Linked DNA regions of Macaca fascicularis. The protein of the gene in region 1 purifies or fractionates together with the protein of each later gene. This does not show direct contact. Links are inferred from orthologs where the notes say so. Each region holds a gene or a part of one and is shown in the gene's direction. Other genes may lie near its edges.

Region 1 (4,107 bases):
CTGTGCCATGCATTGTTTTAAGGGCCCACTATTTATAGCTATACAGGTGAACCGCATGTCTGACAGTGATCCTATAAAATTGTAATACCGAATTTTTACGGTACTTTTTCTATGAGTAGACACACAAGCGCCTACATTGTGTTACCGGACAGTAACCTGCCGCACAGCTGTGTGGCCCAGGAGCCGCCGGCCACTTTACAGCCCAGGTGCCCGCAGCCCTGCCACGTAGGTGTGAGTGATGTTGCTCTAGGATGTTGGCAGGATGACGACATCGCCTGAACACACACTGCCCAGATGGTATCAGTGTCGTTAAGCGAAGGATGGCTGTGGCGAAACAAACAAACAAGCAAACAAAGACCGCCTGTTCTGAGTGCGGAGCTTATTATTCTGGGCGTAATTATGATGAATTGTTAGTTACGTTTGCCTGCAGGATTGAGGTAAGGGGTGATCCCAATTAGGGGGTGCCCCAGGGGAGCGCCCCAGGAGTCAGGGCTTGTCTCAAAAGCCCCCGCTCCTCCCTCAGCCTCCCCTCCATCCGACCCCATTCATATCGCGGGAAGGTCCCACAGAGTGGCTGTGGATACTCCCGAAACGCAGCGGTGTAAACGGGGAGGGAGGGAGAGAGACAGTGGTCTGGGAGGGAGACTGAAGAGCCCTTTGTAGCCAGGCAGAGCTGTCAATAAAGTTTCGTCGCCTTAGTAACCGCAGGCTTCGCGGCGCGGGAGGGGAGAGGGATGGCGGTGCGCGCACAGTCACCGCCTTCCTCCCGCCCGCTCCGGCTTTCTCCCTCCTGCGGCTGAAGCTCTCTTCGGAGAAAGAGAATAGGGAGGCCGCAACTCTATGGTGATGGACGGATGCCTTACCCAATGGAAAGAGGAGCTGTCCCAAGGCCAGCCAGTCATATACGACTGCTGGTGCTGGCAGAGCCCGCCCTCTTTCCACTTGGACCTGAATAACCCGACCCAACCCGAGTTTCGCCCGGAGCGACTGCGCTTTCGGCCAATGAGTGCGTCGATTTCAGGCCGCAGTGGGAGAGGAGGCGGGACACGTCGCTATGAGAGAGACTGAGGGACAGCGATGTCAACCACTGACAACAGTTCGCGGCGCTTGACGGTGGCGGGGGCGTGGCGGGATTTTATCTGGGTACTGAGGAGGACCGGGCGGGGAAAGAGTGGGGCTTGACCAATGGGAGCGCCGGAGCTTCGTAGCAACGGAGGAGTGGCGGTAGCCGTGACCAATAGAAACTTCAGTGGCCTTGGCGGGGCGGGCCCGGCGAACAGATGGGAGGTGCGGCGACAGTGTTTGACGAGAGCTGAAGGAGGCAGTGGGAGGTGTTGGCGGCGGCGGCGCGGGCGCCTGAGGAGGAGGAGGAGGAGGAGGAGAAGCGGGTGAGGGGCGGCGCGGGGCCCGATCTCTGAGCCCCTTCACGGCCCCAGCCCCGCGCCGCCTTGGCTCCCAGTCGCCCCCTGCCCCGACTGCCCCCCACCCCGCCCGGCCCCTCCTCGTGTCCAGGCACCCACGTCTCCCGGCCCCTCGCCGGGCCTCGGGCTTCGCGGCACCGCAGCCTCCTTCCTGTGCTTCCTCACCCGGGCCCTGACCCCCTTCTTACGTCCACAGCCCTCCCTGCATCCTCAGGGCCTCTCCCTGACCTCCTGTCACTCTCCAGGCCTCTCCCTGCACCCCCAGGCCTCCTCCTGCACCCCCCAGGGCCTTTCCCTGACCTCACCCTCCAGGCTTCTCCCTGCACCCCTAGGCCTCTTCCTGCACCCTCAGGGCCTCTCCCTGACCCCTCTCTCACCCCTGGGCCCTACCTGCACCCCCAGGGCCAATCCCTGACGTCCTCTCACCCTCCAGGCTTCCTCCTGGACCCTCTAGGTCTCTCTGTGCCCTAGAACCTCTCTCTAACCCCTCTTCCCCTCTCCTGGCTCTCCCTGGACCCTGAGGTTGGCCTCTGACCCTCCAGGTCCCTTGCTCTGGGCTCTCACCGCCCACCCAGGCCCCTCCCTGGGCCCCCAGGCCCTTCCCTAGGGTCTCCCTTTCCTGGATTCCCCAGGACCCCACCAAGCCCCGTCTGGATCCCTAGGCCCCTGTCGGCCCTCTCAGGCCCCTCACTGGACACCCAGGATCTTCTCCACCGTCCCTGGGTCGCCCCCCCACCCAGGTCTCCCGTCTGGCTCCTCCCTGGGTCCCTAGGCCTTTCCCCGCACTCTGCCCTCCCTGGCACCCCCTTCCCTTCCTCACACCCCTCTGAGTGCCCCCAGGCCCGGCTGCAGCCTTCTGCCCCGCATGGCTTCCTGCCGTGCCCACCGCTGTGCGTTTCTGTCCTTGCCCCCAGTCCCCTCTCCAGCTTCCCCGCCGTCCCTGGCGCCCTCCCGCAGCGCCCCCTCTTTCTCTTCTGCAGCCTCCCAGTCTGTCCCCGACCCCTCTACAGCCGTCTCTGCAGCTCCCGCTCCTTCTCCTCCACTCTCGGGCGCAGATGAGCCTGGGGTGCCCTGGTGCAGGGATGAGGCTGGCCTCCGTCCGGGTTAGGGGTTTGGGTGGTTTCTTTCATCTCTCCATTCTCTCCTGGCTCCGCTTTAAAAACATGTTTTTGTAAATGTTGACCTGTGCTGCCTCCCCATAGTCTTCCTTTGCTCCCCACCCCACCCCTGCTTTTGTCCTCTGAGCCCCCCTCCCCTGGAATCCTTGGAGAGGGAGCAGGTGCTGGGATCCCTCCCCTGCCCTCCCTCCCCTCACCCGCCTCCAGGCTGCCTGGGGCTTCACCCGGAGCCTCCTGACCACTCCCGAAGGCTGCCGGGGAGGCAGGGGGCGGAGACCGAGGCTGGGTCGTGGTGGGGGTGGAGGGCGGGACCTCGGGCTGGCGGGAAGCTTTGACTTTTCCTCCTTGAGGGCTAGAGGTGAAGCGGCTCCCCACCTTGCTAAGCCTTTAGGGTGATCCCGGCTGCCAGTCAGTCAGCCTTCCCTGGGCCCACAGAGATGGGTGTGTGGGGGGGTCTCTGCACATGGGCAGGGGCATCTGCGTGTGTCAGTCTGAATGTGCATGGGTGTGCCTGGTGCCCGTGTGCGTGTGCACGTGGGGTTGTGTGTTTACGGGGGCCTGCGTCTGCCCTGCAGAGCAAGAGGGGATAGAGATGCTAAGGTGATGGCTGACATGGCTCTGGGGTTTCCCTACTCTCAGAAGTACTTCTTGCGTTCCATCTTCGCCAGCAGCCCGGTGAAGTCTGCACTGCTTTTCTCCCCATTTTGCAGATGAGATTGTGGGGCTCGCCAGCATCCCCCACGGCTTCTGAGTAGCTCAGGAGTGGAGTCAGCACCACGCCAGGCTCCCCGCGCCTGCCTTGCCCTCACTTGTTCCTGCTCTCTAACAGAGGCAGCATGGTCCGCAGGGCACCATGGGGCCGGACAGAGTGACAGCACGAGAACTGTGCGAGAACGACGACCTGGCCACCAGCCTCGTCCTGGACCCCTACCTCGGTTTCCGCACCCATAAGATGAACGTCAGGTGAGGCGGCCTGGGGGCGAGGGCGGGCCCGAGCGGTCAGGACCCCTCCCCTTGCACCACTGCCGCCCCTCAGCCCTCTCCTCAGTCTGGTCCTCCCCTCAGCTCCAAGTGGGGGTTGGGGCCGGGGCCCGGGAAGGCCCTGGGACCCAGGCATGCCCTCTCCCCCAGCCCTGTGCCCCCACTGCGGCGACAGCAGCACCTGCGCTCAGCGCTGGAAACTTTCCTGAGGCAGCGGGACCTGGAGGCTGCGTACCGGGCCCTGACGCTGGGAGGCTGGACGGCCCACTACTTCCAGAGCCGGGGCCCGCGGCAGGAGGCTGCCCTCAAGACCCACGTGAGGGCGCCCTCCCCTCCCCCGTCCTCACCGCGTGTCCTCCCTGCTCACCGGGCTTGGTCCTGCCTGGCAGACGCTCTAGAGTCCCTCAGCGCAGCCCCTGGGGCCCCCTGACTTCCTAGCCCTTGGGACCATCTGAGGCAAGGCTCAGAGAATCCTAGGAGAGGAGAGTTGGGGGGGGCCCTCTGAGATGTACTCCAACCTCTTCATTTGACGGATGAGGAAACTGAGGCCCCGAGAGGGAACACGAGGCCCCCGAGACCACACAGTG
Region 2 (4,147 bases), on another chromosome or scaffold:
TAAAAGAAAAACGCTGAGAGGAAGGCGAGCCATGAAAATGGCGGCCGCCAAATCCGGTTCCCGGGAGAGAGGGGGAGGGGAAGCTCCGCAGCCTCGCTCACGGGTACCCGCTGCCCGCCGAAACACTCGCCGCGGAGACGCCGTGGCCCCCAAAGCATCGTGCTTTAAAAAGGGAATAAGAATTCCCGCCTCCGCGCCCCACTTTCACTCCAGCGGGGCAGCGTCCGCCATGTGAAAGCTCCCCATCCCCCACCCCCAGTGAAGGGAAATGGCGCCGGGAGGCCGAGGGTGGGGAAGCTTGTTTGTACGCTCAGGCCTCCGGTCAAGACCCCGTTCATAAACCTCAAGCCCCACTGCTACTGAAGCGGTCCGATTTCCTGCCGCTCTCCCACGGAGGCGGCCGGCCGACTTCCACAAGGGGGCCAACGGCCTCGCCATGCCCTTTCCAATAACTCATTGATTTCAAACCCGTTACCTCCATCGCGGACTCAGTCGCTTCAGCCCGATTTCCCGCAGCCGAGCGAGATGAGAGAGATCTCCGCGGACGAACACGAACCGGACTCGTCCTGGCGCTGTAGTGAGAACTGCCTCTCCTCGAGAAACAACACCGCTAGGAGTACCTCCGCACGGGACCCGGCGCTGCTGCTACTGCCGCTAGAGCCGCTGCCGCCGCTTTTCTAGAACCTTCCCCCCCACTAACGCGTCTTCCTCTACGTCAGGCCGTTGCGTAAACGCCCTAACCGCCGCCAATGGCGGGAAGGCTCTACGCCCCTCCTTACGCCAAATGCGTACTCCTCCCCCTCCTGTGGCCAGCGACAGTGCCCGACGTTACTTCCGTAAATGCGCTCAGTGAATTGCGGAAGGCTCGAGTCCCGCGAGTTACTACCTCTCGGAATAGGGTCCCGCCCCCGGCCTTGGCGCAAGGCAGGTGAGAAACGGTCGCGCAGTTTGAAATTAACGCCGACGGGAGGAGCTTAATCCGGAGCCCGGAGTTCCAGCCCTCTCAACCTGGGAGGTGGTCCCTGCAGCTACGCCTTTGATAACCCCCGCCAGAAAAATCGTAGTATAATATGAGCCTTCCCTTTTCGTTTTTCGTGTCCCAACTCGGCGGATTGACTCGGCCCCTTCCGGAAACACCCGAATCAACTTCTAGTCAAATTATCGTTCACGCCACACTGACCTAACCCTGACCCGCGTCTATGCAGCTGACCCCTGGGGTACAGGAGGGGTCTCTGCTGAAAGTGGTCCCAAAGGGGTACTAGTTTTTAAGCTCCCAACTCTCTCTCCCCAAGCGTTTGGAGGATTCCGCACCCTCGCACCGCAGGGGCGAGGAAGTGGGCGGAGTCCGGTTTTGGCGCCAGCACTGAGGCTGCAAAGCAGAAAAGCCACCGCTGAGGAGACTCCGGTTACCGTCCTCGCCCCTCCTCCCCCCTCCCTCCCCTTGGGGACCACCAGGCGCCACGGGGCGAACGGTAAGTGCCGCGGTCTTCGCAGCCGCCCTCCCCCTAGGGCCCCAATTCCCAGCGGGTGCGGCGCGCGGCCCCTCCCCCCCGCCGGGCGCGCGCCCGCTGCCCCGCCCTTCGTGGCCGCCCGGCGTGGGCGGTGCCACCCCTCCCCCCCCCGGCGGCCCCGCGCACAGCTCCCGGCTCCCTCACCCCTCGGATGTGGCTCGAGCTGTAGGCGCGCAAGGCCGGAGACGCTGCAGACCCGCGACCCGGAGCAGCTCAGAGGCGGTGAAGTCGGTGGTTTTCCTTCTCTCTAGCCCTCGCTCGGTGGTGGTGCATCAGATGCTGCACGCGCCCCGGGGGCCCGCTTCTCCGCTCCCCTCCCTTCCTTGCCGGACACCGCGCCGGGAGCTGCGGGAAGGAGTGGAGAGGGTCGGGCGGTGGCCTCGCGGCTGACCTGGCTCGGGGCCGGCGCCGGCAGTTAGTGGGGGGACTGTTCGGTCCTCGAGGGGGTAGGGAGCTGTGGCGACGGTCGCCCTATTTCGAGACAAAGCGCATTTTCCCTCCCCTCCCCCACCAGCGTTCCGGCGGAGGCGCCCCCTCCCCCAGCCGCCACGCGGGGCTGGGTCGAGACTTGGGCCTCCGGGAGGGCGGCGCGTGGTCCCGTGTCCGCGAGGCCTGGCGGCGCGCGGCCGACTGTCCCGAGGTTGCGGCGGCCGTCCCGTTAACGTGGCCGCCGCGGGGGGTAGGCGCGTGCCGTGTGGCGCAGTGCCCTTGAGCCCCCGCGCCGCGGCCTTTGTTTCTCCCTGCGGATGCGCTGACCACGAGGCCCGCGCTCCCGGGTGGGGGCGGGCAGCTGCGCTTAGGCCTCGGGACGCAGAGCTCCAGCGGAGAGGGTCGGAGGCGGAGGGGGAGCGGGTGTGTGCAAAAGGTGATTGCGTCTTCAAAGTGTCACGAAACGGGGTTGAAGCATCGTTAAGTTTTTTCCTTTAGTTAGTTAACTGCTGATTGGAAAAAGAGAGGGTTTCTGAGCAGAAACAAACTTAGGATTGCAGAACAGAGAAGATTCACAGGGGTTTACAGTTGTGAGTTGTTTGGGTAATCGTGCATGGTTTTAAACCGAAAGGATTGTCCTTTAAAAATGGAACATGGACTTGATTACAAATGGGATTTAGATTAGAAAAGATATTTGTCCCCTATGTTAAGCCATGTGAAGCTGCCTTAGGTACCAAGATCCCCAGTAAAGTCTTTCTAGACTCACATGTTTAGAACACGTACTTACGTGCATCATAAGCAATGTAGGTAGGAGCGCAAATCTACTCTGGATTTGTATCAACGTTTGAAATGTGCGCTCCCTACTTGGGGGTTGGAATCCAAACAGAACTTGTATTTAGTTACCTTTTTTGTGTCGTGCAAACTTCTCTTAACTGTCATGCATTTTTCTAGTAATAGTTCTTCAAGTCTGCAATAAAAAATGGCCTCCAATAAAACTACATTGGTAAGTTAATGAAAAGCTAAAGTATGTAAGGATTTAACCCAAGGTTTTTTCCCCCAAAGTATAACTTTGCATCTTTGTGGTTGAGAAATTTACATCGACATATTTCCCAGCTCTCCCAGTATAATTATAGGGGAAAATTAGGAGCAAAACGAATTCATTACATGGAGATACTTGCTGACTTGACTTAATAGCGTCTTAACTAGTTTAATCTTTGAAGGACAGTGCAATGTGGATTTTGCTGAGGATTTTTATCTTCAGATAGAAATACCCACGTTTTTGCAAAATATTACATAAAATAATAAAGCCCTTGTTGGTTGGCATAATTTTCCTTAAATCCCCAGAATTCTGGAGAAGTATTTTCATTAAAGCCAAATTTGAAGAACCAGGTACCTTGTGCACCTAGGTTGGAGCAAGTTAGTGAATCTTTCAAATGGCTTTGGTCACTTTATCTTGTTTTAACTTACTCTGAAATATAGAAGAATCTTGAATACAATTCATTGCGGTGTTTTGTTTTTTTTAAAAAAAATGATCGAAATAGCAAATACGATCCAGAAGGGAGAAAAGGCTAGATTTTTTGTATCTTCTTCAGCTATGTCATGTTACAAGTTTTTTAAAACCTTGGAATATTCACATAAAAATCATGAAATTCAAAGTTACAGTTTTCACAATATTTAACTCTCAACATATTGCATTAATCTTAAGCGCGTAAAGGTGAATGTTAATGTCTCCTAGGTAAAGTAAAGCATTTGTTTTTGGTCTGTATATGTTCTCTCTGGGTTTCACACTAGAAAGGGCACGTTGGTGATTTTTAATTTGTGCCATCATTAGATTCTATGTTAAGTCAGATACCCTGGAAAACAGAATTTGTTTTTGCATGCAATTGATACTCTTTGGGGTCTGTTATTTATTGGTATTTAAATAGTTTATTTTGTGAGGGATCACAGGTTGGCCACTTTAAAACTTTTTTTAACTTTTCATTTTAAAAATTCATTAGTGTTGTGAGATATATGTACTGTTAATTTCACTTAAATAATGGGAAATTTATTTTGACTCAAATCCACATTTGGAAAAAAGTACTGGGTTAAGCCAAACATATACTACAAAAGAAAATGGTGAGCATTTGAAACTAGCTTATGAATGCCATAGTAGTAAATACTGTATGGTATTTTGTCTGCCCCTTTTTTTTTTCTTTTTTTTAACCTTA

Evidence for each region. Proteins that work in one complex are often made in the same cells at the same time.
Region 2: the proteins of KMT5C (region 1) and CBX3 purify together in Homo sapiens (affinity purification with western blotting; 3 studies listed by BioGRID and IntAct, with this or other methods). This does not show direct contact. The link is inferred for Macaca fascicularis from reciprocal best matches to the Homo sapiens genes KMT5C and CBX3.

What each region holds. Positions count from the first base shown.
Region 1 is NC_088393.1:63,286,749-63,290,855, forward strand, and holds the start of KMT5C (histone-lysine N-methyltransferase KMT5C), read left to right. Parts: upstream 1-1,307; 5' UTR 1,308-1,388; intron 1,389-3,249; exon of another isoform or gene 3,250-3,368; 5' UTR 3,369-3,392; coding exon 3,393-3,502; intron 3,503-3,670; coding exon 3,671-3,836; exon of another isoform or gene 3,837-4,053; coding exon of another isoform or gene 4,054-4,104; intron 4,105-4,107. UniProt on the Homo sapiens protein: Histone methyltransferase that specifically methylates monomethylated 'Lys-20' (H4K20me1) and dimethylated 'Lys-20' (H4K20me2) of histone H4 to produce respectively dimethylated 'Lys-20' (H4K20me2) and trimethylated 'Lys-20' (H4K20me3) and thus regulates transcription and maintenance of genome integrity.
Region 2 is NC_088377.1:104,102,943-104,107,089, reverse strand, and holds the start of CBX3 (chromobox protein homolog 3), read left to right. Parts: upstream 1-1,347; 5' UTR 1,348-1,472; intron 1,473-1,660; exon of another isoform or gene 1,661-2,376; intron 2,377-2,891; 5' UTR 2,892-2,919; coding exon 2,920-2,943; intron 2,944-4,147. Other genes in the region: HNRNPA2B1 (heterogeneous nuclear ribonucleoproteins A2/B1), read right to left, coding at 476-481.